Alligator mississippiensis: one gene and its partners. The protein of the gene in region 3 interacts with the protein of the main gene of each other region in a pairwise test. Links are inferred from orthologs where the notes say so. Each region holds a gene or a part of one and is shown on either strand. Other genes may lie near its edges. The genes, in order: KLHL38, YWHAQ, TRIM42 and HOXA1.

Region 1 (7,445 bases), on a different chromosome or scaffold from region 3:
AACCACCAGATGTGGCTGGCTGCAGGGAAGAGATACAGCGTGCTGTACCCTTTGAAGAGGTTTCCCAGCTCGGTCTCTGAAGTCCAGGGAGCTCCATCTCCCTTTGTGATTGTGGGTACGGCCCTGCACTGTCCCCACACAGGGCTGTGAATTTGGGGCACTGCCTAACCTCCAGTTAATTTAGCATGTTTTTATGTTGGATACTCAGCAGGAGAATACCACCTGGGGGACAGTCATTAACATGAAGTACATAGCTTAACAGAGGTTTATAATACCTGGAGCAGCGTGTTTTGCCCGCATGAAAATAATTCTGGGAGATCAGGAATTGCAAATGGTGATGCCAAACTGTGGTTACCATAACAGTGTGGTGATTTTGACTTGGCTCTGCCTTTTCGGGACTGCAGCAAATATAAGGACCTTCTGACCAGTTCTGCTTTTGGCTTTAACATCAGGTCATGTAAAAGACTTTTGTTTTTCTTAATAATGAACAGGCTAGTCTGACCTTGTACTGGTACTTATGAACCAACGGTGGATACAATGCCATCCCAAAGAAAGGGGAAATTGTTGAGCAGCAACAGCAAAACACTGCAAATCGGGACACCTGGGTTATATTTCCGTGTCTGACGGAAATCAGCTTGTGGAAGATCACTTGTTGTGTGATCTTCCACAAGCTGCTTCACTTCAGTTTCCCTATCTGCAACCTTCACGTTCCTCCAGGAAGCTTAACTGACTAAGGTTTTTAAAGATAACAGAAGCCTTTGCACAAAAGGTGCTATACAGCTGCAACATCTGATCTCTGATGGCCTGCTGAGTAACATGAAGCACTGCGATAAGAAACTGTCTGGGCACAGGGTTCTGCTGGAATGAGCTCCAGGTAGAAAAGTCCGCTCTAAGGCAGGAGAGGTATGTCCAAGAGCTGTCTTAAACCCGCTTAACAGTTTTTCCTTATGTGGTGAACTCAGTCCAATCAACATCTCCCATGCTCAGTCCCACACCTTAACAGGTAGGATACCAGGACTTCCCCACACCTTTCCTTAAAATAGAAAGGTCTCATCACAAAGTCCTGGGCTAGGGACAGACATTCAAAAAAAGTTTGGGTCCCTGCCAATGGGACAGGGAGGGGGGAATTAAACCCTCTCTGGCCAGACTTCCACCCCTGCCTGCCCCTGCCTGTCTCTGCTCTAGCTGGCATGAACGCCGAATGCCCCCAGAGGCTGGGGGGGGCATGGCGACCACCCACAGGCAGCGGCGGAGGTGGCATGGTGGTGGTGAGTGGGGACCACCCGCAGGCAGCCGTGTTGGGGGGGGCAAGCACTGACCAGCAATCGGCGGTGGCGATCAGGAACCGCCAGCAGATGCTGCTGGCAGTGTCAGCAGCGAAGGGGGAGGGTGGTGAGCATCAGCGGTGCTTTTTGCAGGGGGTGCACCACCAATCTCAGGGGGTGCACGTATACCAGCATGCACCCCCTATGCATCGCCAATGCTGGCTAGGGTGGGGTGGGGTGGGGCCAGCCCTGCTTGGCTGGAGCAGAGAGCCCAGTCCAGAGAGTATGTTGGGATGCTGGTGGACTCTGGTTTAACCAGGATGGAGTCTGGGACAGACATTGCATAGTTTCATAGTTGGTAGGGTCGGAAGGGACCTGAGCAGATCATCAAGTCCGACCCCCTGCCATGGCAGGAAAAAGTACTGGGGTCAAACGACCCCAGCAAGGTGTTCGTCTAACCTCCTCTTAAAGACCCCCCAGGGTAGGAGCCAGCACCACTTCGCTTGGAAGTTGGTTCCAGATCCTAGCTGCCCTGACAGTGAAGTAGCGCCTCCTGATGTCTAGCCTGAATCTATCCTCTGCCAGCTTGTGACCGTTATTTCTAGTCACTCCTGGTAGTGCTTGGGGGAACAGGGACTCCCCCAATGCCTGCTGGTCCCCCCTGACTAGTTTGTAAACAGCCACTAGATCCCCCCTCAACCTTCTCTTGTGGAGGCTGAACAAGTTCAGGTCCCTTAGCCTCTCCTCATAGGGCCTGCCCTGCTGCCCCCTGATCATGCGGGTGGCCCTCCTCTGGACCATCTCCATGTTGTCCACATCCCTCCTGAAGTGCGGCGCCCAGAACTGGACGCAGTACTCCAACTGTGCCCTGACCAGTGCTGCATAGAGGGGGAGGATCACCTTGTTGGACCTGCTCGAGATGCATCTGTGGATGCATGACAAGGTGTGGTTGGCCTTCCTGACCTCATCCCCACAGTGTCGGCCCATGTTCATTTTGGCATCAATAATGACTCCAAGATCCTTTTCTGCCTCTGCACTGATGAGAAGGGAGTTCCCCAGCCTGTAAGTATGCTGCTGGTTCTTCCCCCCCAGGTGCAGCACCTTGCACTTCTCAGTGCTGAAACCCATCCTGTTCTCATACGCCCACCCCTGTAACCTGTCTAGGTCTGATTGCAGCCTATTCCTCCCTTCTAGCGTGCCCACATCCCCCCACATCTTAGTGTCATCAGCAAATTTGAACAGGGTGCTTCTTACCCCCTCGTCCAAGTCATTGATGAAGATGTTGAACAGCGCAGGTCTAAGGACCAAGCCCTGGGGGACCCCACTGCCCACATCCCTCCAGGTCAAAAATGACCCGTTCACCACCACTCTCTGGGTGCGGCCCTCCAGCCAGTTAGTGACCCATCTGACTGTGTAGGTGTCAACGCCACAGCCCCCTAGTTTTTTTAATGAGAATGGGGTGAGAGACAGTATCAAAGGCCTTCCTGAAGTCCAGAAAGACTATGTCCACTGCTACTCCTGCATCTAAGGATTTTGTGACCTGGTCATAGAAGGCCACCAGGTTGGTCTGACAGGACCTGCCTCGAATGAACCCATGTTGGTTGCCCCTAAGCATAACCTCCCCTGCTGGCCCCTCGTGGACATGCGCCAGGATAATTCTCTCAAAAAGCTTACCCAGGATCGAGGTAAGCCTAACTGGCCTATAGTTTCCTGGGTCCTCCCTCCTCCCTTTTTTGAAAATGGGAACCACACTGGCCCTTTTCCAGTCCTCTGGCACCACACCGGAGCACCACGAGTGCTCGTAAAGCCGTGCCAGGGGTCCTGCAATGACCACTGCCGATTCCCTCAGCACTCTGGGGTGGAGATCGTCAGGACCAGATGATTTAAATATGTCCAGCCCCTCCAGAAGTTCCCTGACTAGACCCTCACTGACCCTAGGCCTGGGGTGCACCTCCCCTGGGGCCTGAGGGGGTCCTGGCAGACGGGCTGATCTGTTCCCTGCTCAGGAAAATGGAGGCAAAGAAATTGTTAAATAGGTTAGCTTTGTTATCTGGTGCAACAACCAGATTTCCTAACGTGTCTTGCAGAGGCCTCATGTTACCCGGTACCTTCTTTTTGCCCCCTATGTATTTAAAAATGGACTTCTTGTTGTCCTTCATCCGGGTCGCTAGTCCCAGTCCCATCTCCGCCTTGGCCTTCCTGACCGCCCCCCTGCAGCCCCAAGCTACCGAGATGTAGTCCTCCTTGGTGATGACCCCTCCCTTCCATTGGGTGTACGCCTCCCTTTTAACCAGGAGACGTTCCCGTATGCTTTTAGTGAGCCACAGGGGCTTTTTCACCCTCTTGCCCCCTTTGACCCTTGTTGGGATTACCTCCCTTTGGGCTTGGAGATCGTCGCCTTAAGGAACGACTGCTCTTCTTGGACACCTGACTCCCCTCCCCTCCCCTCTGGGACCTCAGTACCTCCCCAACTATTCTCCTTACCTCATTGAAGTCCGCACTCCTGAAGTCTAGGGCTGCTGCCTTGCTGCAGGCCTTTGCTACCTTGCGCTGGATGGTGAATTCCAGCAGGCAATGATCACTGTCGCCCAGGTGGTCCAGCACCCGCAGCCCCCCCACAAGGTCATCACCTGTGGCCAGCACCAGGTCCAACAAGGCGTCTCTCCTGGTGGGGCTGTGCACCTCCTGGGTTAGTTGGAGGGCCTGTATTTCGGCTAGGAACCTACGTGAGCAGTCAGACCTGGTTTGAGTTCAATCAGTTATGTCTGATAGTACATTCAACCAGGTTTATCTCAAACTGCTTTCAGCCATTTTGCACCTGGTTTATGTGCACTGAACATTTATTCCGTTACAGGTTTAACCCAGTTTCTGGTCACTTAAACTGGTTTATGTGTAATGTCTGTCCCTAGCCTTGTTGCCCCTGTTTTCTCCTCCCTTCGAATGAAAATACCTAACAGTGCATGACTTAACACTAAACATTTCAGGCTGTTTACAGCCTTCTAGAATTCCCAAGCACTTTAGGACAGGGCCTTGTGTCTGTTTTCAAAGAGACAGGCAGGACATTTATAAGTGAACTTTCATCTTGGTGTCTATTTATTGTACGTAAACATTTGTCAGAAAAACAGCAATTGGGCATGCTCGGTACTGTCCAGGTTGTTGCAAAAGGCAACTGCAAAGTCACATGTGATAACATCGCGAAGTCCACACGCAACTATTCTTAGCCCTGGAATGCAGACAATGCCGTGCTGCCGACTGGCTCTTTCACAGAGCTCCCGCAAGCAGCAAAAGTACCTTGAGAATAAACAAATCCAGAAATCACCCTCCATGAATCACTTACCTACCGAAAGGAACGTCTTGTGAGTTTGTAGCTTTTACTCAGGCACTAGCTATGGAAAATCTCAGCAGAGACTAAACGCCATAGAGTGAGTGAATGCAGGGAAGGACAATCTAAGGTAAACATTTCTACCACGCGATTTCCCTGCAGGTTGAGCAGCTGGGTAGTCATGCAAATTGATAGCCGCCTTATTGTTCTGCCTTGTGCATTATTTAGTCATTGTGTGTCTGATTAATATAAAGAAGCAGCCGCTAAGCAGAGTTAATAAATTGCTATTTTAAAGCAGATTCCCAGTCTCTCGGGTTTAGTTTGTCCTGCTGCAGAGTTTAGCTCTGCCAGATTTACATTCTTTGGGCATGACTAACGCTGAGGGAGAGAGACATAAGCTACTAAACTGTGAATACTTCAAAATCGTGAATAAGTGGCTAAGCAAGTTTATTAGATCTGATTGAAGTGAACAAACCATTTGCTTCGGACTTCTAGCTTTCACTGCAAATCAGCAAGATAACGTTAATGCTTTTGCTTTTTATCAGGCTAATAGAAGAAGCTGACTTCAGAGCTCTAACCCATCTGATAAACTTTAAAAAAAGGGTTTTAAGTGACCTCTTAGGCTCTTTAGTCCTTTCCCACTGTGCTTAACTAGCGTTCCCAATTTTATGTGCAGACAGAGGAAAGATATTTAGAGAAACCAAAGTCCTGATCCCTGGTCACTTCGGAGCAGACATTTATATAGCAGCTGCTAAGACTGTACTATCCCTGCCTAGTCCAGCATTCACATCTATCCTGTTTGACCATGGAGGTGGGCTCTGCAGAGGAATTTCTCTTCAAAGACCACGATTTCTCCTCAGAATTGCTGAGGCAGCTCAATGCTTTAAGGCAGAACGCGATGCTGACTGACGTTACACTGTGCACTGATGGCTTTGAAATCCCTTGCCACAGGAATGTCCTTGCTTCAAGCAGTCCGTATTTCAAGGCGATGTTCTGCAACAACTTTAAAGAGAGTCACCAGGCAAAAGTTGACCTGAAAGGCATTGACTCCAATATTTTATATCAGATTATCCTCTATGTTTACACCGGGGAGATTCTTATCACAGCTGACAATGTTTTGTACCTATTTGAGGCTTCTTCCATGCTGCAGTATGTTAAATTGTTCGAGGCCTGCTCTTTGTACCTCCAAGACAAGTTGACTCCTGATAACTGCCTGAGCATGATCAGGCTCTCCAAAATCTTGAACTGCCAAAATCTCAATACGAAAGCCAAGGCAATGGCATTGAAATACTTTCCTGACGTAGCCTCTTCTGAGGACCTGAAAGAGCTTTGTGCCTTCGAACTGATTGACTACCTTGGAGATGATGAGCTCTGTGGTGAGGAAGAACAGGTTTTTGAAACATTGATGATCTGGATCCGGCATGATCTCCAGGCCCGACAGGGTTACATCCACGACTTGTTCAGAAAGGTCCGGCTTCAGTACGTCCACCCAACCTTCCTCTTCCACTTCATTGCCAATGACTCCCTCATTCAGTCTTCACCCACTTGCAGGAACATCCTAGAGTCAGCCAGAAGACAGATGTTTTCTTTGTATAGCACTAGTGCTCCTGACATCAAACCTCTGTGGCATGTTCCTCGTAGGTATTCATACCAAGAATTCCTCATCCTCATTGGTGGCAGGAAGGACAACCAGCAGACAACCAGAGATGTCCTACTATATGATGAAAAGACCAGTCAATGGCTTAGCCTTGCCAAACTTCCTGTGCGCCTTTACAAAGCCTCCTCAGTGAGTCTGCACAGCAATATTTATGTGCTAGGAGGGAGACCCATTAATGACAATAGAAGCCCAATCAGTGATAACATTTATATTTTCTCCCTCAAACTAAATCAGTGGAGGTTAGTTGAACCTATGCTAATTCCACGTTACTCCCACAGGAGCATAGCCTATAAAAATTATATCTTCTCATTTGGAGGAATTGGAGAGAACCAAGAAATTCTGAATTCTGTAGAGAGGTATGACAGCATTTACAACACCTGTGAGAACATGGCAAACATGCCTGTCGCTGTCCTTCACCCTGCGGTAGCTGCTAAAGAGCAAAGAATTTATCTCTTTGGAGGGGAAGACATCATGCAAAACCCAGTCCGTCTAATACAGGTAACTCCTTGACCTGCCCATCTCATTTTCTTGAACATATTCAGTGCGTCTCACCCAAAACTTGCTGATGAAATCAAAGCCCAATGTTGAACCAAATTATCTTCTGTCTCATGCAGTAGATGGCAAGAAACACATGATAAGTTGGAAATGCTCATTCCATGGTGTCCTATATGAAGGAAAATGGTATTTAAATTCCTTTCTTATTTCCAAAAGAAACCTTTATTATTGTCCCTAAGAGCCTTCCTTAAGTTTTATTTCATCCTTTCCCAGGCAAACTCCCATTGGTTTCTTAGAAAGTCTAAATTAAGCCAAGTGAGGGCTTAGCCTTGACTGATTTTATTGCTTTAGAAAGATGTCATATAGTGGTCTTACAAATAGATGCTAAGCCACATGCCTAATATGTGCATCCATTTGAAGTCAGTCATTCTTGTTAGGACCGTGTCTAAGTATCTGGTTGAATCAAGGACTCAGTCATTGGTCTCTCCACTGACATTATCAGCAAAGGCTCTCTTCATGATGGTGGTTATTATGACTGATTTCCTAGTCACTGGGACCAAGGACTTAAATCATCAGCTCATTTTACACCAGCCATTGGTTCTAAAACTGTGGTCCTTGTTGATGGCCTGCAGATTGCCAGTTGGATACTAGGGCTGTGTGAAGCTTTGGTCCCCAATTCAAATCGGCAGAGATTCGGCCTGATTCG
Region 2 (7,602 bases), on a different chromosome or scaffold from region 3:
TACCCTGGTAATAGTCTATGGATAACAGTTTACTTTTAAACAAATTAAAATTTTGGTGAGCAGAGGGCAGCTCTTGAGAGCACTTTTTGCTGCTGCTCTGTTTAATGTGTAAGCACTGGAAAATTTGTTCTTTACAATGACAGTTTCAATCTCTCTGTTGCTGACTCATGGAGCAGAGTAGTGGCAGACAAGAAGAAAGGGAAAGAGGAACAGAATGGGGGACTGCAGATGGTGCTGGGAGGGAAAGCAGCAGTTTCAGTTCATGCAGTAGAAAGCAGACACCCCCTCCCACTACAGGAAGATGCATATCTTTGATTGTGGAACAGGAAAAGCATGTCACTTCATAGGTTTCAGTCTTCCCTATTTCCTGCAGTCTTAGGGGCCCTGTGAGAGCAGGCAGCTGCCAGCCAAGCCTCAGCTGAGTGCAGCAAGAAACAAAAAAATAAAAATAAAAAATGCAGCAGTAGTGGGGTAAGCTCAGCCAGGGCAAGTAAGATTGTTCCCCTCTTCCCCCCCATATTAGGAGTTTCATTAGTGTGGCTACACCAATTGCTCATCACCAGTTGCCAAAACTGGAGTAATTTTAGCCTGCAAGGGCTAAAATGGCTCGCTGCTGCTCACTTCTAGAGCAACCCGAACTCCTAAGAGCAGCAGAGTGTCTTCTGTTAATATGACATAGCAACTAGAACACTGAAAATGGTTTAAATGCATGTAACCTCCCCTCTTGAGAATTCAGTTTGACAGAAGCAGGCATGAGGGACATTTTAAGAAGTCTGAAAAACTGGTTGTGTGCACAAGTCCTAAGAAACTGATGGCTAGCTAGACCAGTTCACAGAGAGGAAGATAAAAATCAAGAGGAACACTAGTAGTACAAATGTTGGCAACACAACACTATTCCGATTGGAATTCTGTCACATGAAACAAGAATCAGTCTAAACCCATGCTTCACATGAGTTGAGGTATTATTAAAAAAAAGGTAAAGATTTAACAAGTTTAACTATGCCTATAATTGCAGAAGATGAAACTATTAACTTGGCATCTGAAGAATGCTTTGTGGCATTAAAATTTTCTTCCTGAATTAAAATTGGTCTAAGAGGAAGCGCAGACTAAAGCACATGGATATTTTCAGGACAAATCTAGAAAGGGGCACCTTGTCAGCGAACTGGAACTCCTGACTTAATTTGATTTTCAATTATTATTGAGATGGTTAGCTTTAAATATAGGTCTCCTAGCACTATTTAGGCAGTGTTAATGATTTATTAAATAGTAATTTTCTTTTTTGTTTCTTTTTTTTTTTCTAAGAATTTGCTATTCACCTCTTCCTGTCCTAACATACCTACAGTACTAGCCGCTATTATTTTAGTGCTAATGAAGTGGTCAAGGTTATCTGCTACAAACTCTAAACTGCATTACACATCTAGTTTTGTGCAGCCAGAACTTACATTGATTGTATATGACAGGGCGGTGCGCCTTCCGCACTGCTGACACAAATTCAGCCCCTACCACAATGCAGCATATTAGCACCAGCAAAAAAGAAAAGTCTAGTGCACTGTTCAAGGAGCCAGACAGCTATTCCTGGCATCTGTACGCTCATCCACAGCCTCTCTCAGGCTCCAGACCTTTTCAACTTCCACATTATTCCACTATTACTGCATCCATGGAACAAAGCAATGCGAAGAGGATACCTGCACGTGACAACAGCCAGTTTTCTGCAGATTTGCATTGATGTCTTCAATTAAGAAGCTGTGTGCCACATACCACATATTTTACTTCACGACCCCCCCACAGAGCAGTCATGCTTCATTTAAGTCTTCTACTCTTCCATCTCTTTTCCGTAACTGCTAGTGCAGCACCCTGCAGCAGTTTGGGTACCACACCCAGCCTTCCGGGTGCTCACAGACCATCAACCCCATACCAAAAGGGGAAGGAGAATAGTTTCCCGGTCTTCCTTTACCCACCCAGAAGATTACCAATACAAAGGCACAGGCACACCTAAGCTCCAATCCCCCTGCCATCCCTGATCCAGTCGGTGCCTTGCATGTGGCTCTCATGAACCCCCCCCCCCACACACACACGTGTCAGAGTGCAATGCAGCTCATCTCCCCTCCTCACACCCCTGGGTCTGACAGGTTTACTGCATTGTTCAGGCAGGGCCCCCCAGTACATGACACCCACCTCTGGACCACTCCCCCCAACCCAACCCGTAGCAAGCGGCGCCCCAAACTCACCAGCACGGTGGTGCAGATGGACCGGAGCTCGGCCTCCACCTTCTCCCGATAGTCCTTGATGAGCTGCATCTTTTTGTCGCTGGTGTCCGTCTTCTGCTCGATGCTGGAAATGACCCTCCAGGCTGAGCGCCGCCCGCCCACCACGTTCTTGTAGGCCACGGACAGCAGGTTGCGTTCCTCGTTGGACAGCTCGGCACCCTGCTCGGTCACCGACTTCATGCAGGTGGCCATATCGTCGTAGCGCTCGGCCTGCTCGGCCAGCTTGGCTTTCTGGATCAAGTCGGTCTTGTCCATGGTGGCGGGCAGGTGGGTGGGCAGGGGCGAGGGAGCCTCAGCTACGACACCGTCCGCGGGACAACGCGCCTCAGCTCCTGCGGGGGGAGGCGCGGGTTAGGCGGGCGGGCGGGAAGTCGGGCCCCTCCCTCCTTTCCCCCCGCCCCTCCCTGCCCCGCCGCGTGTGTCCGCATGGCGGGGGCTCGGCCGCCCGGCCCCCCCACGAGGGAACATGAGGGGAAGACCCCGCGCCGGCGCGAAATGGCGGCGTGGAGGCAGCTCCCGCGCCCGCGGCCCCGGAGACTCCGCACGCGCGGCACAAAATGGAGGGCGCGGCGCGGGGGGGGGATGGGATGGGGGGGGCGCTCCCGCTCCCAACGGCCGGGTCGGGCCGGACTCACCTGGAGCGGCTGCGCGGGGCCGGGCCGGCTGGCGCCAGGAGCGGGCGGGCCGCGCTGCGCTGCGCTCGGGCGGTGGCGGAGAGAAAGAGCCGCTCCCGTCTCAGACTAGAGCCAGCGCTAAAGGGCGTTGGCACGGCCTCACCTCCCCGCTGCCAGCCCCGCGCCCGCGCGGCCAATGGGAGGGCCGGCTCCGGCTCGGGCCCCGCCCCCCCGCGGCTCAGCCGGCCAATCGGAGTGCAGCGCGCCGCGGCGGGGGCGGGCGCAGGCCGGGCGCAAGCTCGGTTGGCCCGTGGGCTGCGGCTGGGGCCACGGGGTTTCCTCCAATGAGATCCAGGGTGAGCTGACGTCACTGTCGCCATGGTGATGCTGCTACAACCCCCCGCCCTCCCCGGCAGCCGGCGCTGGTCGCGGCATAAGACTGGCGGGGGCGCGGCCGGGGGCGGCTCGTGCTGCGGCTGGGCGCTGCGCATGCGCGGGGGGTGCAGGGTGCAGCACAGGGAGGGACAGCTCCGGCGGGGCGGGTGCTGGGTGCACAGCGGGAGAGGACGGGCAGGAGCGGTCACGGAGTCATAATTTGGGTGGAAGAGACCAGCCGTTCTCTACATTTTTTGTACCAGGCCCCATTGGCAAACAGCGATGGGCAGTGCCGACCCGCGTCCCCCAGTGTGTGGGCCAGGGGGCCCCCAAGCAGCCCCTTGCAGCTGCAGCTCTGCCAGGGAAATGCCGCGGTTTCCCACGTTTTTGAAGGAGGATCCATTTTTTGATCCATTTTTTAATTTTTTTTTCCTGATCCTTTCACATATTCCTGGGACCAGGTTGACAAAGGCTGGTCTAGTGCAACCCCTGCTCAGCGCAGGGCCAGCCCCAACTGCCTCATCCCAGGCAAGCCTTTGTTTAGCTGGATTTTCAAAACCCCCAAGGATGGAGACTCCACCACCTCGCTGGTGAACCTGTTCCAGTGCTTCACCACCCTCCTCCCGAGAAATTTCATCCTAACATCTAACCTAAACTTCCCTTGCTGCAACTTGAGACCGTTGCTCCTTGTTCTGCAATCTACCACCACTGAGAGCAGTCCAGCTCTATCCCCTTTGGAAACTTTCCTTCAGGTAGTTGAAGGCTGCTATTAAATCCGCCCCCTATTTATAAACCATTAAATCTTCCGCAGACTAGATAATCCCAGTTCCCTCAGCCTCTCCTCAGAAGTCGTGCCCCAGCCCCTGAACCATTTTTCTTGCCTCCCACTGGACTCCAATTTGTCCACATCCTTTCTGTAGTGGGAGGCCCAAAACTGAACACAGTAGTCCAGATGTGGCCTCACCAGTGCTGAATAGAGGGGAATAATCATTTCCCTTGACCTAATGGCAGCACACCTACTAATGCAGCTGACTATGCCGTTAGCTTTCTTGGCAACAAGGGCACACGGCTGGCTCGTATTCAGCTCATTGTTCATTGTAACCCCCAGGTCCTTTCTGCAGAGCTGCTGCCCACCCAGTCAGCCTTCAGCCTGTACCAGTGCATGGGATTTTTCCATCCTAAATGCAGGACTTAGCACTTGTCCTTATTGGACTTTGTGAAATTTATTTTAGTCCAATACTCCAATTTGTCTAGGTCTCTCTGAAGCCTAGCCTGCCCACTGGCAGATTCCACATAGCAGTAAGGAACCTCACCCTCTTTAGATCCTGGCCCCACTCTGGGATGTGGCGGCTATGGGCAAGACTGAGTGGAGCTGTTTAGGTCTTTCAGGTGTTTTAAGAAGGATGAGACTTATGTGGATAGGTTTATCCTTCTCCCTTGACCAAGGGAAGAGACCCACACAGTAAATGGAGACAAGCAGACTGTTCTAAGTGCCAGGCTGTGTCACCAGTCATCCCATTTCAAGTAGTACAGGGATGATGCTATGAGTTAAAACACAACCTTGTGGGGAGGGTGAGATTGTCAGGATGGATGGAGTTTGGCCCTGTTCACTGAGTCTGGAGTGAGAGAGGTTTCCTGCAGGTCAAGATTACGAAAGGCTGGAAAAGGGATGGGAAAAATTCTTCCATTTCATTACCTAATGACAGGAACTGGAAGGGTTATTTTCCATCTGTGGACTAGGAGACAGGAATTACTAGGCCAGAAGAGCTTTTAACTTTCTCAGCTGAATTTCTTCAGGGGCCATTCTAGGATGGCCAAGAAGATAAAGCAACATTTACTGTGCACTTGGGATAAAGAGACTGGGTGACAGAGTGCCTGGTTGTACTGATTTAGGTTTCTTTGATCCCATTGGTAATGGGCTAGGGAAGACAGGGCAGAAAGAAGTCCTACATTTGGCTTGAGTAAGAATCAAAATCTTTATTCTATGGGTTTCACCTGGAATTAATATTCAAGAGGTTGCCAGGATCAGTAGATAAAGACTGGCATTTCAGGCTCATACACTTAAATCAAGAGTAATAAAGTATCATCCATCCAGAATTTAATTATGGCAGCTGATGCCCCCAGTCTTGCATATATGTTATAAAATACAACTTGGGTGTCCCTGATGGACCTGCTTTGGCATAGTTGGTTCTAGAGACAGTTATCTATGTTATCCTGAAGTCAAGTAGAAGGCAGGCTAAATTTGCACCTTAGGGTGTGTATAGAAGTGCTCCATATAGGTTTTAATTTAAAGCACTTTTTATAGGACTAAAAAGTTACAGCACCTTTAAATATGACAGAAGTGTAGTGTTGGGGAGGTGGGGCTCTGAGCTTCCTGGGGCTTCTCCATTAGTCAGAAAGTTGACCAGAGTACAGAAGTTATTTAAAGTGCTGTAGGTTGCTAAAGTGCTGTAAAATACTGTGCTTCAAATTTACTATCTCATTTAACAAGGGTTAATTTAAAGGGCTCTACCCATTTTTAAAGTGCTGTAAAGTCATGCACTGCTGTTAAGTCACAACAATAAAGCTCTTTAAATGGTAAAAAAGCAACTTCTGAACACATCCTTATAGACTATCCAAAGAGCTATATCTATATGGACATATTTTTCTTTGGTTAGTCTATAAGATGCAAATCCACTTTACCTTCTTATAGTTGATTCTAGACAGGCATTGGTATAGCATGATCCTAAGATGGAGAGGTAAGGAGACAATGTAGTTATGCTTTATCATCTTATTCAAAATAAAGGAAGGCTTCTAATCTACACCAAGGGTGGTGCAAATACATGCTTGCAGGCCCAGGGACTAATTACCCTAGTTAGTGCTTTGCAAAGTTGCTGCATAAACTGACGGAATTCTTCACTAGAGAGGTTTTGAAGTTCCCAAATGTTGTATTGTTCATCATGTGATATTCTTGATCTAGTATTTGGGCTAAGATTGAAGATTAGCTACTTGAAATTAGGCCCAAGTCTTAACATGGCCCATTTGGAGTAATTCAGTCTCCTTGTGTGTCTGAATTCCAAGACAGTTTTACCAACATGATGAGCACATACTCTCTCTATTTCTACCCATGGTGCACAGGAGGAATAGCCCTCACTGAATGTGTTGCCTTCACAAAAGGAAACTAACGAGTACTTAGCTTGTTTATCCTAGCAAAACAAAGGCCTAGCAGGGAAATGATTGTTCTGAACACATCAGGAAAGCAAACACCAGGGACAGAAAAGAACTACTTAAACTACAGGACAGCAGGGCACAAGGACAAACTGATATGAAGTGGTCATTAATCAATTTAGGCTGGAAATCAGGTTTCTGAACAGAACAGTGAAGTTTTGGAATAGCCTAATAGGAGTACTGGGGCAAAAAAATCCTAACTGTTTTTAAGATGGCACTTATGAAAGGGATTGTGTGATGTGGTTGCTTGTGGAAGCCAGGGACTGGATCTGATGACCCAGGAAATTTCTAGATGGAATTCAAGAATAGGAACAGGAATAAAAATTCAGTATTTCTTTTTAACCTTATGGCACAACATGCAGTTTTCTGCACTGTTTACTGTGCACCATCCAAAATCTTCACTGAAAACAGATTTGTAAATTTCCTTACAAGCTTTTCAAAGATGCTGCATCAGAGTATCTTGGTTCTCACAGACAGTACTAAATGTATCTTCACCATGCCCTTGTGAAGTATGATAAGAATTATTTTTAACCAAATAATGTTTCAGGCTAGAAGCCACCAGAAAAGTAAAAAGTGTCAACATGATTGGGTGCCAAATTTGAGGATTCCAGTGTTTTGTAGCACCATTTTTGTTCACTATCCAGCTTCTGCTGACTTCACTCACAGCTGTGAGGCTTAGCACTTCTGCAAATTGCATTCCAGATGTCTCCCATTGAAGCCACAGAAAATGTGCTATTACAGTTCTGGTTTATGCCACTTGCCTAGAATTCCATATGAACTCTATCAGAGGGCAGTATATAAATCACCTAAAAGAAAAGCTAGGGAGATTGTCTAGTCCCCAAGGGCAATGGTTTTCAGTCTGTGCTCTGCAGAACCCTAGGGTTTGTGACAGGTCATCAGAGGTTCTGCAAAGAGACTGGGGGTAATGGCAGAGTGAGCTGGTAGGGTCAGACGCCACCGCTGGGCCAGGTTACCTGCTTCCATGTCAGCTCGCTCAGGCTGCGGAGCTGGGGTAGGGGTTCCGTTGCAAAAGATGTGATATGAAAGGGTTCTGTGACTTCAAAAGTTTGAAAACACCACCCTAGGGCATTATTCAACTGCCTTATCTATGGCTAGAAACAGATGTCACCAAATGAAGC
Region 3 (7,546 bases):
TGACTGTTCTTGATCTTCTTGATAGGCTTTGGTAAAAATGTGCTCTTGAGCAGAATCATCTCTATGATATAAACTGAGACATTCTTTACAAAAATTCATTTGACATGTCAGACATCTTTTGGATGCCTTTCTTTTCTTCTCTTTGCAAGCTTGACAATAAATTGATGTCTGAGTTCTGTCAAATCTCCACCTGATAAGGCCATGTTTCTGCATATATCTCTTAGCCAGTTTGGCTCTCAGTAAATTCTTCTTCAGCTGAATTTTATTAGAATAGGGAAGGCAATGTGCTTTGTTACACACTGGGCATATGAGAATGAAAAAGTTCTCAGACACTTCAGCCTTGGCCCTCCTTTTACCTATGCAATCCCCACAAACACAATGTTTACAGGGAAGCATAAATGGGTGGAGGTACAGTTGTTTACACGCTGGACAGGTGAGTTGATCACGAAAACTATGCCCTGAGACATCCTTGTCCAGTGTAATGACAGATGTATCACTTGTAGTTCCAGGGCCTGGTAAAGACAGCCTTGAACTGAAAAAGAAAGAAACAAGATCTTCTCAGCTTCCAAATGTTCATTAAGAAACAGGCTGTAATATATATATATAGCTTTGCATTATTTACTGAAGATATCTTACACTTTAAATATGGGTATGATCCTCTATTCCCCCAGTGAATACTTATGAATAAGCTTTTTGACTGTCTCTACTTAGCCAATACGTATGAAACTATCCATTTCAGTTCCAGCATTTATATTGCAAGCATTACACAAACTAACACAAACAAACATCTGCATTTTGTTTTCTTATTCCTTATTTATAACCTGTGTATTTCGTTACATTTTTATAAAGATATGATACAAATAGATAGACAGGAAACAGAATATGCAATAAGCAGATAGTTCATTGGGAATGAGCAGAATAATGGATTTCTGGGAGGTTTGGATAGCAAGCAGGAGGAAAAAACCTAAAGAATATTTTTTCCCTCATTTTGGGATTTCCCAGCATTTTGGGATTATTTTTGCTTTAAAATGGGAAAACCTGAAATGTTTTGATTTAAATTGAAATGTTTTGCATGATTTTTTTTCTTTCAACCTGAAATGAATTGGTTTGTATCATTTTCAGGATATCCTAGTTGTTTTTTTTTAAATACTCCATTTTATTATTACTATTGTTGTCAGTTTTTAAATGAAGAATGTTTTGCTGAAAGTAAAAGTCAGAATGTTTCATTCTGAAAGTATTAAATTGAGAGTTATTTCTTAAAATACATGCTTTAATTAAAAAATATCAAAACTTTTTTTTAACATTTTCAACTTTTTTTATTAATTATAGGTTTGGTCTGTCTGGAATTGCATTTGTCAGTAAACTTACTATACAGTGGAGAAGAAAAGAAAACCCCTTGCCTATCTTCCATCTCCTGATTTTCATGCACAGCTTTCTTTTTATTTAGGAGGGTGGTAAGAATTGGCCTTCCAATGTGACCCTGGGTACTGGTTCTAGATTTTTAGGGTTAAGACTATCAAAAGTTGCTTGTAAGTTTTCTTGCACTTGAGATACACAGCTTGGAATGCCACAAAGTTACCCAGTTTTCAGAAATGTTGACCATTTATAGTTTGAAAGTCAAGGCTATTTTAATATGTCTCCAGTCAGGTACACAAAAATCACTATTCATTTTCAAAACTGTGACCAACTGTCTCCATAAGCTATTCTTAAAACTGCGTAAAAAACATCATGCACAACTAACAGACACAATCCCCAAACTGCCTCACTTGCCACAGGTAAAGCTCGGGGACAAAGGGCACTGTCAGTATCCTGCCACAACAAGCACAGGAAGTAATTGTTAAACACAAGACGGATCCAAGGAAGAGGGCCTATGGTCCCTGCTATAGAAAGAGGTATGGAGGGAGGTAACCCCCATCCACTCCACATACATGCAGTGCCCATGCTGAGCTGTATGGTAAAATTCCTTTCTGATCTCAAATGTGGTGATTAGTCTGACCCTGGGTTGAGGAGTAAGACATTCTCACTATGAACCTCCAGGATTTTTAGTCCCAGAAAAAAGCACTGACACAGTCATGTATCCCTCCATGTTTGAGCAATCCTCCTCCATCCTCAGCCTGCCTTAGTCAGTAGTTATGTCTCCATTTTAATATATGCTCTTCAGATGAATCTCTAAAATTAGTAATACTTTTTTTGTAATATTATTTCTTCTTCCAATTCTCTTCAGAGCACTTTTTAAAAAATATATTTGGTTTTCTTCCTCTTTCTCTTCCCCCTAACTATAATCCTTTCCCTCATTTACAATTGATTAGCACTTTACTCTCTTTAGTAGTCTACTTTGTTGTTTTCTTGGAATACTCCACACTTTTTCCTTTCCTCTTTCTTGGTTTGGCTCAGTCTGGCATTATCACTATTTCCAGCCATGTCTAACACCTTGAGAAAAAGGTGCCCAAAATTTTGCCCCTAAATTCCACAGAGCTAATAGACCATAATATAAATTTAAAAAGAAGGAATTTCAAAAACAGGCTTTGGTTTCACTTACTGATTTCTCCTTGGGATTCTTGGATGGTATGGTGAATGGGCAACATTTCTGCAGCATGTGCTTTCATAACACTGACAAACGGTATTCTCATCGGTGGCACAGCAGCAACACTTACAGTCTTCATCAGTTGAGAAAGAGCAGCAGCACCAAATACAATTTGGGTTCTCTGAACATGTGCAATGGCAACACTGGCAAGATCGATCTTCATGGTAAGCGCAGGGAAAACAGTTGCAATTCCGCTCTTCAGTAAATAAAAAACGCCAACATAAGCAGCATTCTTCTTCTTTTGTTAAGATCGGCGGACAGCAATGGCAGCCTGGACAACATGGCCAAAATAAGCAACATAAGCATAAAGTCCTGGCCATCACCCTGTAAGACACTTAGAAGACCACTTGCCAAGCCTTTCAGCGTGTCCTCACTTTATGTTACACAGCAGCACTCCCCTCTTCAAAGCTTTGTGCTTTGGAGGAGAGGTGGATTTTTTTTCTCTGGTTAGAGACTAATAGTGACATCACAAAGAGATTCCAAATAAGGGCATGAACATGGCCATATTTGCACATGTACATTACTCACTTGATTATCTTTTTATATCACAGTTGCTAAGCATTGCCTTTCAGGTTTCTTCCACTGGCACTAAACACTAGTATATCTAAGCTGGCAAATTCACGTATTGCCCCAACAGCCAATGCAAGTTATGTAGAATTCTGGAACATGTTGAAAATTTGGAAGCAGCGTGAAATAAAATGAATTTGATATAAAAATAAGTAACAATTAATATTTCACTGGTTGTTCAAGTTCATATTTAATATGTGCAAAATATTACATATTCAAATCACATGCCCCAGAATTTCTTGTGTGCCAAAGAATCCCTGGGGTTTTGATGAAAATTTTAATTCCACCTTACCACAGAGAGAACATAGAGACTTTTCGCTTGCTTCCTTCGTGGTGGGAGAAAGACATTTTATGGAGTCTTCTCTTTCTCAGGGCAGGTGACCTGTTGATACACCCTAAGAAACAAAGCAGTGTTGGTTTCTACTTTTCTACCTCACCTACTTCCAGATTCTCCCTGTCCTTTTCAGTCAGTGATTAAATAGCTTCAAAAGGAATACATGATAAAAGAAATGCTATCTGCTTTTGCAGAGGAGACACTTTCAGCATTTATCCATTTGTATGATCCCCATTTATTTCAAGAGCTCATTCAATGCCTTATTTTGAAATTTGTTTTCTATTGGCCTAGATCCAAGAATAATACCACAACTTACTTTCCGCCGTGTCACATGTATGTGGCAGGAGGTGCATCAGATCCCATTTTGCTATGTTGCCAGTGGAGGAGGAGCCTGAACCAGAGCTCCCCTTGCCTCAGCAAGTAGCAAGCATGGCTTCAACACATCATGTACATGGTGCACTTCCAGGCTGGGAGCCCCAATCAGCTGAGGTGCCTCCCAGTGTCTGGAGCATACAAGAGTCTTGACAGGCTCCCATGTGCACTAGAGGCTGGCCAGTGGCCACACATGCAATTAAAGGCATAAAAAGAACCACCCATAAAATTATTACACATATTTTATGTAATCATTTTGTGGCTTGTTCCTGATTTTATCATGCTATTAATTTATTGAACGTGTGGCTAGGTCACTACTTAAGACATGATTAACCAGTTAATCATGTCTTGCATGTAAAATCTCTCCAGGGCCTCAGTAATAGTATGTATCTACATTTTCCTTGGCCAGCTTCTTTTTCTCCTTGTATTCACTTCTCCTTTAAGTATTCTATTGGCCAAAGCAGGATGTCTTATAATGTGGTCAAACCAAAATTTTATATTTTCCAACATCAGCTGTAATATCAGTTCTCAGCTATGAGCTGAATACCTGAATCAGCTCAACTATGAGCTGACACTATAAGCTGAGTATCTTTAAGAGCCATCTACAGCACTTTGTTTCAAATGCTTGCATGCACGTTTCTATAGCTACATTTCAGGTGCAACTTTAGACACCAAAGCTTAAAATATAGATTCTCCAAAATACTGCTCAGCTGCTTTCTAACTTTTGAGTTGCCTACAATGTGAAAGTACCTATATTTCTGGTACTGAAGCTTCCTAGAAGCCTAAAAGTCTTCTTCTGGGCATGCCCAAGAACACCTCAGGCTTGACAATAACAAGTGGCTCAGTCAGCACCTATCTTAGGCATAAATCAGCATTCATGAACTACAAGTTCCTTTGCTTCTCTCACTAGTAGTCATTCTCAGAGTACACCTTTTGTATCAGACTTCTCCAAACTAGCCATGGAGTCACTGATATGGCCCCTCTATGAAAATTACTGTGCTAGAAGAGCAGGAAAGAAAGTGAGTATGATACCTCTGCCTACTAGTTAGGATACTCAGCAGGGAAAATTATGTTCTATTGAATATTTAGCATAAAATAGGTAAGTCAGGGGCTCACAGGACAAAGGAAAACCTTGGGTTCAAGTTTTTACCTTACTGAATATTTCACTATATTATGCTAAATATTTAGTAGAGCAGGGGCTAGAACCCTGCTCTCTCCTTCTCTCTGAGAATGATCTATGTGACTGTAGTCATTTTCCATCTCTTTTCCTAGTGCATGATATAATGGAAAGTGGAATAATTTCAACAGGACTGTACCAGAGCACCTCACTCCCAGCCATCCCAAAGTGCCAAAGAGGTTGTTAATTAGATTATTATTTTGGGAGGATTAAATCCTCTCAGGTAGACTGTCCATTGATGCTGATATTTGTTGAGGGATTTGACCAGGATAGATTAACCTGTACTGATGCAGCTATATTCCTTCTGGTTCCCATGGTAGACTAGCTGCCACTATACAGCATTGCACTGCAGCGTGATGAAGGAGATCAGTGCTTATGATCCCCATACCTCAGAAGTGGGATCCACATTTTCCAAAGAGATAAGCCATGTACCTTTTTGAAAGAGGCAGGTTTGTGAGGCGGGGAGAACAGGAAAATATTTTAAACTGATTATATGTGAAGCTGTGTGATAGTCACATATCTTCCTAGTCAGTAATTACTGCAAAAGCATCCCTGTAGAGCCAAGCACTGCCAAGCTTTCATAAGACAATGGGTTTCTCTTGAACAATGTCTTGCACTCTCTCCTCTAAGGACTGACCAAAGGAATTATCTGAAAGTGATATAACAGGGTTGCACTGGCGCCAACCCTCTCTCATGGTAGTCTCCAACAGTTTAGGCATAGAGTTTTTTTAACTTCACTGAGATTACATCAATGCAATGTGATACAGCATTTTTCACAGATTCTGTGCTCATTGGTTTGTATTAGCCCACTTCAGACATTTATAAATCTTTATCTTCTCAAATTTAAACTATACTGTTTACTTACCTTAGGGAGTGGAAAGGAAAACATAAGGGAAAAAGTTAACTTAAAACATTAAAATTGTATTGGTGCCTCACTTGAAAGCCTCTAAGCATCACACACTAACAGACTGATACACTGATTACTACAAAACTATTGACACCAGTTACCACGCAGTTGCATTTAGGGTTGAGTACTTTATTCCTCAACTCAAAACTGAAAATAAGAGTGACCACTGTATGGTAGCTGTTGGTGAGTGTTGGCTTTTAATGGTGATCACTGTACTTACTGTAGGTAATTAAGAGTTTCTTTAAAATGCAAAATATTCATTAGCTTGGGTTAATCGGTTAATGCCTAATTTGGGAATTATTAAGGCACGCATCTTGGCATACTTTATTGTAACAGCTCCTTTGTAGCCATTAGAGCCTATATGCACAAAACCTACTCTAGTTAGAGAATTTTTAATTCCCTGATCCATAGCCCAATAGACCATAATGGCTCAGTCATTATAGGCGGCCATTTACATGATGGACCATAATAGAGCCTTTGGAATGGTTATGGGCTATTGTGTCAATGAAGTAGAAGTACTACGTCTGTGTATGAAAAATCTTTCTAGAATATTTGAGCAAAATAATTTATTGCAAATACTCAGACCTTTAGTAGCTGTGGGTTTTTACATTTTATTTCCCCAGGTTCCTTTGATGGCTAAGCTTTCTTTTCTCTTCTTTGTGCATATTTAATTTAGAAAATTAAAACACTTTTGAATTCCATGAGCATGAAAGCATATCTTGTAATACTAATGCTTGCTGCTTTTTTCAGTCTTATAATTCAGATATTCCTAAATAGATATTTTAAAAAAGAAGGGAAAAAAAAGCAGCTACTCATCTTACGTGTCAAGTTTCAGATCAAAGCAAAATCTTGATATGACAAGATTTGATTGCTGCAACCAACTCCTGGATATTTATTTCCCCGCTTTCTAGCCATCTTTCATGCCTGTCATTCTGACCAAGATTCCCCATTCTTTGATTCTCTGTAATACATTCTCCTTCTCTGCTGCATTATTTCTCTTGTCTTTGTCTTCGGATATATTTTTCACTGTTTATCTTCATCATCTTTTATTGTTCTACATTGTGATATGCCAGTGATGATACCTTTTCTGTTACCCTGTTTATATGCTGCTTCTCCAATCTTCTTTCATTTTCTTGTTTCTTATACTCTGTGTATAGACTACACTGCCTTAAGACCTTTGCTTTGATATGCAGCAGGTTTAGAGACTGACCCATTCTTTTTTATCCACGTTTGTTCACCATTAGCAGATACTAAAACATCTAATCGCTCCTTTTGCCAGAGCAAAAATTACAGTTTTTCAGCAACATGGTTTGGCCAAGAGGCCACTTAATGATGAAAGTGCACAGCAGTTAAACTATGATTTTGTTGGTTTCCCCAATTCATGGGCTTTACCCTGCAAAGTTCCCATAGCTCCCATTGGCTTCACAGAGGCACATTCATGCTAGAGCCCTCACGTGCTTTTTGTACTCCTTTGATGTACTCCTTTGTACTCCAGAGATGGGCAGATGAGAATAGGATGGAATTCAATGCAGACAAGTGCAGGGTACTTCATCTAAAGAGAAGGAACCAGCAGCATACCTATAGGCTGGGAAACATCCTTCTCAT
Region 4 (7,827 bases), on a different chromosome or scaffold from region 3:
ATTGTCGTCATCGAGCGCGCACGCACGCACACACACACACACACACACACACACACACACACACACACACACACCCCCCAGGCTGGTGCGATGCCGCATACTGGGCGCTGTGGAAAGGACACACAAGAGTCCTGGCCTCAGCAAAATAATGAGTAGGAGAAAGGTCTTTTATTGAATAGCGTCTCGAAGGCCACGCCAGGAGAATAAGGAAGCTAACTAGGTAGGTGATCAATGACGTCACACATGCACTAAAACAACGTGTACCTGAAACTTGAATATATTTATTACAGACATTTTAGGACCCGTAAATTCTGCTCTGGATTCCATCACTCACAGAACCGCAGAACCTTTAATGATTGTAAATCAGAAAGATAGTTAGCTCACAAATGACAACTGATAGAACTCAGTGTACCTTCAGTACATCAAAGCATTGTGCATCATGCAAAGTTCCATACACGAATCACAGAAAATATACATTCATTTGGCCAGTCATCACATTTACGATTAGGCTGAAAAGACATCAACTCGAAGGAAGGATTACTTTGAAAATAGGAATAGGTGAGGTCTTTTGGGGGGGATAAAATACCGTTTTAGGTCCAATATAATCCAGCACAGATTTCTGGAGGGGGAGGAGAGGGGGAGCACACCAGTAAGGTTTACAAAACCTAGTGCAATTGAAGCCTTCTTCTGTCTCATAAAAAAAAATGGTGCTACAATTCGAGGTATCTGATTGCAAATTTAACTGATATCATCAGGTTTACCATTATAAAATTGGATCCAGTTTTGAGAATGTACCCACCCTGCTTAATCTAAACATCATTTCTAGAAAATCTGTAAAAAGATAAATCTCTTGGACAAAGTATTTACAACCAACAAACCCATACACACGAAAAAAGAGAACGCATTAAATTAATGGATGAAAGTTCTATAACTCGTGTAAACACTTTCAATAGTGCATCTCATCATGAGGTCATGTACTCTCGATAGCTTTGTGTTTCTGTAGGGGAAAAAATATAGAAACATCCTTGCAATTTGGCTCTCCGGAAACAGGGAGACCCTTATAAATGTGCTAAGGAGACAAAAAAAAAAAAACAAAAAAAACTCACAACTCCTGCTGGAATGTAAGGAATGAATGTAGGACTAGTTAATTAAGTGGTCATCAAAAACTGACATTAGAACCCATTGTGTTTAGCTCTGCATTAAATAAACAGCCGAGGGTATTTCTAAACCCAAATGCTCACGGAACAAGTTATTTGAACGTCAGGATGACCCGAATATTTAAAAATATATATTTACTTTAAATCAATGAGGGTACGCTAAAGATGTAGCTATAGGGTGGGGCCCAGGGATGTGTCAGTTTGAGGTAGTAAGGACGTCTGAGGTAGAGGAGGCTGGTGAAGGGGTGCACGGGGATGAACTTGACTTTTCTGATGACTCTTCTGCTTTCTCCTCGCATCCCGTGGGGGTAGCCGGGGAAATGGGTAGCAAGCCCTCCTTCTCCCTTTTCTTCTGCTTCATCCTACGGTTCTGAAACCAGATCTTCACCTGCGTCTCGTTAAGTTGCAGCGAAGCAGCGATCTCCACCCTCCTGGCCCTGGTCAGGTACTTGTTGAAGTGGAACTCCTTCTCCAGCTCCGTGAGCTGCTTCGTGGTGAAATTGGTCCTCACCGTGTTGGGCTGCCCCACGTAGCCGTACTCTCCCGCCTTCCCTGTGAAAAGCATAGGGCAAGTTTAAGCAAGTGCGATGATTTAGAGGTGACATAATCAATGTGTACACACGGGCAGAGCGATATGGAGCAGGAACTCCTCGGGATGCGGGGGAGCCCGGCAGTGAGTGATGGAGTGGGTCGTGCTAAGCTGGAGCCAGCCACTAGTGTCAAAGGAAGCCTGATGAGTGGGCTATGAATCGCAAGACATATTACCACGGGGGCGGAAATAAGAGCCTGGACTGTCATGATGGCAGAGGGGTGAACTTGTCCGCGCTGCCTTGCCGGAGATCTCCTTACCTGTAAAAAAAATAAAAATCCAGATAAACAGCAGGCCACGGGGAGCACAGGTGCGGGGGGGGGGGGGGGGGGGGGGGCGCTCTGCCTTGTGTCTGCTGCTCCAAAACAGAGAGAAAGAGGAGAGAATCCCCCCACCACCACCAAAAAACAAAACAAAACAAAACAAAACTTTGATTGCGACTGACCTGTTTTAGGTGGGTTTCTTTTCACTTTCATCCAGTCAAAGGTCTGCGCTGGAGGCGAGGTCTCTGCGGAGGGGGAGCGCGCGGTGTCCGGGTGGCTGGCGTGCAGAGGGGACAGGGGGTGGCTGTACCCGGCCAGGGGCAAGTTCTGCTGCTCGGCTCCGTAGGAGGGGTGCATGTACTGGGCGGGCCCCGCCGAGCCCGCGGCGTAGCTGTGCTGGGGGGGGTGCTGCTGGCCCACGGGAGGGGAGATGTTGCCCGAGTACAGCGCGGGCGCGCACTGGGGGTACCCGCCGCTGCCATCTGCGTCCTGGCCGAGGGAGTAGGGGCTGTACCCCGCGCTGAAGTTCTGGCTGCCATATCCCGGGCCGCAGCTAGGGTGCGAGTAGGACATGCCCAGGCTGCCGGGGTGCTGGTAGGCGCCCGCCTGGGGGTGGTGCGGATGCGGGTGTGGGTGCGGGTGGGGGGGGCTGATCTGGACCCCCCTGCCCACCAGGAACCGCTCGTCCCCTGGGCTGCAGCCATTGGCACTGACCGCGCAGGACTGGAAAGTTGTAATCCCGTGCTCGGGGTGGTGGTAGGCGCGGGCGGAGCAGGTCCCAGCCTCCCCGCTCAGGAGGGGATACTCGAGGAAGGAGCTCATCCTCGCCGTGTCCATCTGTCACGGAGTGACCGGGTCTTCCGCGCCCCGGGTGCCCGTGCCAACTTTCTCACCTCCTCCATGGGGCCAGGAGAAAAGCGAGATGGATGCACAGGGAGCTGGGGACACGTGAGGGCCGCAGCCAATGGCTGCGCCTCCTGCTAAACTTTCCCAGCTCCTGCTGGTGATGGATCACCGTTTCAGTGGCATTTAAATCCCGAGCGCTCCTCCATCAAGGTGACGCGCAGCCACCACCACCTCCCTCCCCCGCCCGCCCCCCCACTCTGTGCATTGGGGCTTCCGAGCCGGGGCCGGAGAGACAGTGCGCGCCCAGGCGCTCAGCCCGCAGCAGCCTCCGGAGGGGGGGCGCGGGGGGGGCTGCTCTTGCCTGGATTTACAGGGCTGGAGGACGCCGCCTGCCAGGTAAGCCGGGGCCGCTGCGGGCCCCCCGCTCCCCGGGCGCGGGGCGGTGCGTGGTTGCTATTGTTGGCGCTGTCAGTGCAGCCAGCACCCCCCCCCTCCCCTCCCCAATCCTGCGGCAGCCTCCGCGGGGCCCAGCTGGCTGGGGCAGGGGCTGCGCGCAGGGCAGGGCGGGGGGGGGGAGTGTTCCCGCGCTGCGCCGCCAAGAGTTAAAGGGGTTGCGCAGCCCGCGGACATTAGCATGGCAATGAGGCGCCTGGGTCATCGCACGCCATTGTGCTGCGGGAGGTGCCTGGCAGCCCGCGGGGCTCCCTGTGCCCGGGCAGCCGCCAGCTGCAGGGGGGCTGCCGACGTGGCCGGGCCGGGCCGGGCTGTGCCACGCTCAGCCCCGCAAGCGTGCACACGCACGCCCCAGCCCAGCTGCCGGGGCAGCTCCGCGGCGCAGACAGACGCAAGCCCCGGATGACACGGCGGGGCGGAGGGGAAGGGGAAGGGAAGGGAAGGGAAGGGGAGGGGAGGGGAGGGGGGAGCGGGGCCCCTGTCAGCCTGCGAGCCGCTTTGTCATGGGGCGGGAGCGCAGGGAGCCAGCAGATGGTCAGTGGCGGAGGCTCCCGGGGGACGCCCCCCCAAGATGGGCTCAAACTTTCCCTCTGTCCAGCTAGGGAAAGCCGGGTCCGTGTGCGGGGGTGGGGATGGGGACTGGTGTGTGAGTGCGCTACCACAGGCACATGCAGACAAGCAGGGCCCAGGTGCCGTAGATCCACGCGTGGGTGTGGATACCTCCCCTGCCTGTGCCTGGGCGTGCTCAAATGCACACGCGGGGAGAGGACCCCTCTCCCGGCCGCAGCCCCAGGGAGATGCGTAGAGAGAGATGTGCCCTGGGGGAGGCTGCAGCTGCCTCTTTGCCAAGTCCGCCCTGAGGGGGGGGGGGTTCGGGGGGAGGGGGCATGCAGGTGCACTTCAGCCCTGCCTTATTTTGCCTTGGCCCCCTGCCCGATTGTTGGTTTCACTCTCAAAGGCTCCTGCCCCCTGGCTCTCCCCCTCACCCACTACCCCCCACACCCCCGGGATCGGCTTTCCACAGCCGTCTGTGCCCCTGTGCGGCCACCTCCGCCCGCCGCCCTGCACCCCGCAGCCCCGCTGTTGCCACTGGGAAGCGGGTAGATGTCTCCCTTCCACCCGCTAGGCACAAAAGAGCCGCCCTCCCCCTTCCGGGCTGCTCTCCCGCACCGCCATGAACAGGCCAGGGCCGCTTGGAGCCATTGAGTTGCTCAACACTCTTGGCTTGGGGGCGGGGGGGCGAAGCAGGGGATTCCCTGAGATGCACGAGGCGGCCTGCACTCCGCCTCTGTGGCTCCAGAAAAGGCTGGAGGGGCACTTCCTCTGCCTGCCCCAGCTGGGTGGAGATCAGGGCAGAGGCAAGCCACAGGGACCGCTTACTGGAGAGCTGGCTCCCCCCTACCACCCCAGGCATTACCCCGCTTTTCATCACTTGCTACCCCCAAGTCCCTCTCTCAGCTGGACACCCCCGCCGCAGCCCGGCTGCCTTGCCCTCGCTTTCCTCGCCATGGTGGGGAAGAAATCCGCCCTTTTGTTACATTGTGTCTGCTCCAGCGCGGCACAATGAGGTGGGGGAGGCAGAGTAGGGGCAAATGGAGACAAGCCTTCAGAGCAGGGCTCTATGCCAGCTCTGTTCCCCCTTACGCCGCCCCCAGCCTCACCCTAGATCTCAGAAGGTTTCGAGGGGGGCATCTCCAAGCCACTGCTGCCCTCCCGGTGCCCTAGGCGCCACTCTGACGCTCTCCCCATTTCACCTCCCCACCCCCCGTCTTTTGCCCCCAGCGCCCAGGCAGCTTTCAGGGCTTCCCCGGGAGACAATCGCTCCGCGGAGATGTATTGATTTGCAAAGCGATCGGGGAAGAGAGTTCAGGGCGGCCGATCTCTCACTAGGACGTGGCCACCTCCAGGCCCGGGGTGCCTGCAGGGCATCGGTCCAGTGGGAGCTGAACGAGTCCAGCTAAACAGGAGTTAAAATCCTCCCCCCAGGCGAGGGAGCGAGCCCCTTTTGGGCCGAGAGAGCCGGAGCAGGGAGAGGGAGCAGGAGCAGGCCGGAGAGGTGTGCCGCACCCGCAGCCCAGCCAAGCTGTTGTTTTAAAAGAGCAATAAAAATGAATTATGACTAAACGCCTTCTAACTTAATGGTTTTAGACGGGGATCCCCAGCCCCGGCACATACGTAAGAGGGTTTTTATTTGTGCATGTGTTCCTGCAATTGATCTCTTTGATGACATTCTCATTCAGAGAGAGAGTTTGATTTATGAGGCTAGGAAGGATCGCGGCCAGCCCTTCTAGGCATTACCCACGCGACCCAGCTCCACAACGTGTTGCAGAGCGGGGAAACCACCCTCCTCGCAGGCAGAGGACATAAAGTGCCCCGCGCAACTGGACGCCTCGCCGGCCAGCTCTCCCCGCGCACAGACACAACACACGGGGATCCGCGCCATCGCCTGGCTCTGGGAACCGCAACTCTCCCTGCCACCATCTGTTGCTTGATTTTTGGCCCTAGCACTCTCGGCTGTGTTAAAAATATCGACGGGTCTTCCAATGCAATCCTCTGTGGGGGTTTTATACCGCGCCACGAATGGGGCAGCGGGCTGCTGAGTGGGCTCCATTGAAATTTAAACGAATGAAGCAAGAGTTTGGCAACCGCAAAGAGGTTTATGGAGAAAAAGCCTCCTTCCCTGCCTCCGCAGAGCCCCGGGAGGAATCGCGTTAGCACAGTCTACAGCCTTCCGAAATGCAGTCCTATCCCCCCCACCCCCAAATAATAACACTTGTATTTTTTTTTATTTCCTTTTTTTTTTTTTTTTGTAGGTTTGTTTTCTCGGACGCGTTCAGCACATGGGAGCTAAGCAATCGCGCACTGTGCTTGTATTTTTAAAGAAGTTTTCCTTAAAACGAATTGTTGGACGCACGGAGGTTTAGCTTAGCAATTTCTAACCCAGCCTTTTACTACAGCAAGAGGCCAGTGTCTCTAGCAAAGCATTCCTGCCATTTCCTATGGATTACATTTGGTCTGTAACGGAGAGAGCTGCACGTTTGTTTGTTTGGGGTTTTTTGGTTTTTGTTTTGTTACAGTCTAGAAAACCCGAAATTTGTATTCACACGCAGATAATAGAAGCTCTTCGAGATATGCCCAGGTTAAAAGGAGGAAATTGTGTAAGCTTTGAGCGCAGGCTTTATAATAATAATAATTATTGCTTGTAAGAATCCTTTCAATAAAGAATTGGAATGTGCTTTTTCTCTCTAATAAATATGTCACTTTACCAAAAGGAGAGAGGTTGTGAGCGGATTGTTTAATTTTATTTCCGAAGTTAGATTAGGAGGGGGAGGAGGAAAAAAGCAGCAGCAGCAGACCCGTTAGACTACCAGTGGTGAGGAAGAAAGAGGGTGGAAGAAAAAGAGAAAGCTACTTGTAGCAAACAAGAATTTATTCTACCAAAAATACTTATGACAACGCATCCTAATGCAATACAAAAATAAAAAGAAAGTGACGATACAATTCTATATGATCACTTTCTTACAGGCCTCAGATATTGCTTTCATAGAAGGACCTAGGATGTGGCTAGGTTAAACTGAACACAACTAAAACTCCAAAAGAAACGGTAAAATGGCTCTCAAACACAGCAAAGGGAATTAAGAAACAGAAAATACTGACCAGGAAAAAGGAAAATAAAATTAAGTCATTTCAAAAAGGAAGGCAGAACCCTTGGCGAGAGGAGGTCTTGACTTTTCTCAGTAATTCAGGTGCTGCAAGTCAATTGTGGTGAGTGTGTCTGTAAAAAAGTCAAAACTGTCAGCAGAGATATCTACAGGACTGTCCAGAGATCCTGGCAAACTGGGGGAAACTGCATCTGAAAGCTGTAGGCAGGAATCTGTGGAGAAAACGTTAAAGTCCTGTAAAGAAGGGACATCCAGGGCCTCAGGACTGTCATTGTTCAGGCCAGCTGCACAGTTCTGGGCCATTGTTGATAGGCAGTTCTGAACAGTGGGTGACTGATGCTGAAAATGTTTCAGATTTTTCTCATTGCTTGTTAAAGGCGAAACTGGGAAACTTTGGGACTCTCCATTGTGTACATTCTGAGCCTGCTGTTGAGATAGTGCATTTTGCTGAAAAGTGTAGCCTTCCCTTTCCAAAAGAGCCCCTGAGACATTATTGAGGGCTTGTTCAAAGAGGGATTTCTCCTCTTCCTCTTCTGCTTTTTCGGTGTCCTCTAAACTCTTAAATTTCCCCTCACTGTTTTGGTTCTCCTTACACTGGGTCTGTCTCTTGTGCTTCATCCTCCTGTTCTGGAACCAGACTTTGACTTGTCTCTCAGTCAAATCCAGCAAGGCTGCAATCTCGACCCTCCTCGGTCTGCAGAGATACTTGTTGAAATGAAATTCTTTTTCCAGCTCCAAGAGCTGGGTGTTGGTGTAAGCCGTCCTCAGCCTCCTGGAGCCACCGTTCCCACTATCGGGGATTTCAAGGGAGTCTGCAAAAAGCAAGCACACAGGCAAACAAACAACGCCAGATAAAT

The links.
Region 1: the proteins of TRIM42 (region 3) and KLHL38 interact in binary tests that used the Homo sapiens proteins (3 or more experiments, as listed by UniProt). The two-hybrid records come from large-scale screens. The link is inferred for Alligator mississippiensis from reciprocal best matches to the Homo sapiens genes TRIM42 and KLHL38.
Region 2: the proteins of TRIM42 (region 3) and YWHAQ interact in binary tests that used the Homo sapiens proteins (3 or more experiments, as listed by UniProt). The two-hybrid records come from large-scale screens. The link is inferred for Alligator mississippiensis from reciprocal best matches to the Homo sapiens genes TRIM42 and YWHAQ.
Region 4: the proteins of TRIM42 (region 3) and HOXA1 interact in binary tests that used the Homo sapiens proteins (3 or more experiments, as listed by UniProt). The two-hybrid records come from large-scale screens. The link is inferred for Alligator mississippiensis from reciprocal best matches to the Homo sapiens genes TRIM42 and HOXA1.

Annotation. Positions count from the first base shown.
Region 1 is NC_081826.1:20,462,930-20,470,374, forward strand, and holds the start of KLHL38 (kelch-like protein 38), read left to right. Parts: upstream 1-4,445; 5' UTR 4,446-5,392; coding exon 5,393-6,742; intron 6,743-7,445.
Region 2 is NC_081824.1:31,109,741-31,117,342, reverse strand, and holds the start of YWHAQ (14-3-3 protein theta), read right to left. Parts: upstream 3,016-7,602; 5' UTR 2,903-3,015; intron 2,600-2,902; 5' UTR 2,523-2,599; coding exon 2,229-2,522; intron 1-2,228. UniProt on the Homo sapiens protein: Adapter protein implicated in the regulation of a large spectrum of both general and specialized signaling pathways. Binds to a large number of partners, usually by recognition of a phosphoserine or phosphothreonine motif.
Region 3 is NC_081830.1:46,934,890-46,942,435, reverse strand, and holds the start of TRIM42 (tripartite motif-containing protein 42), read right to left. Parts: upstream 3,017-7,546; 5' UTR 2,905-3,016; coding exon 2,540-2,904; intron 533-2,539; coding exon 1-532.
Region 4 is NC_081828.1:156,072,959-156,080,785, reverse strand, and holds HOXA1 (homeobox protein Hox-A1), read right to left. Parts: upstream 3,010-7,827; 5' UTR 2,847-3,009; coding exon 2,192-2,846; intron 2,007-2,191; coding exon 1,923-2,006; intron 1,710-1,922; coding exon 1,354-1,709; 3' UTR 262-1,353; downstream 1-261. Other genes in the region: HOXA2 (homeobox protein Hox-A2), read right to left, coding at 7,043-7,782. UniProt on the Homo sapiens protein: Sequence-specific transcription factor. Regulates multiple developmental processes including brainstem, inner and outer ear, abducens nerve and cardiovascular development and morphogenesis as well as cognition and behavior.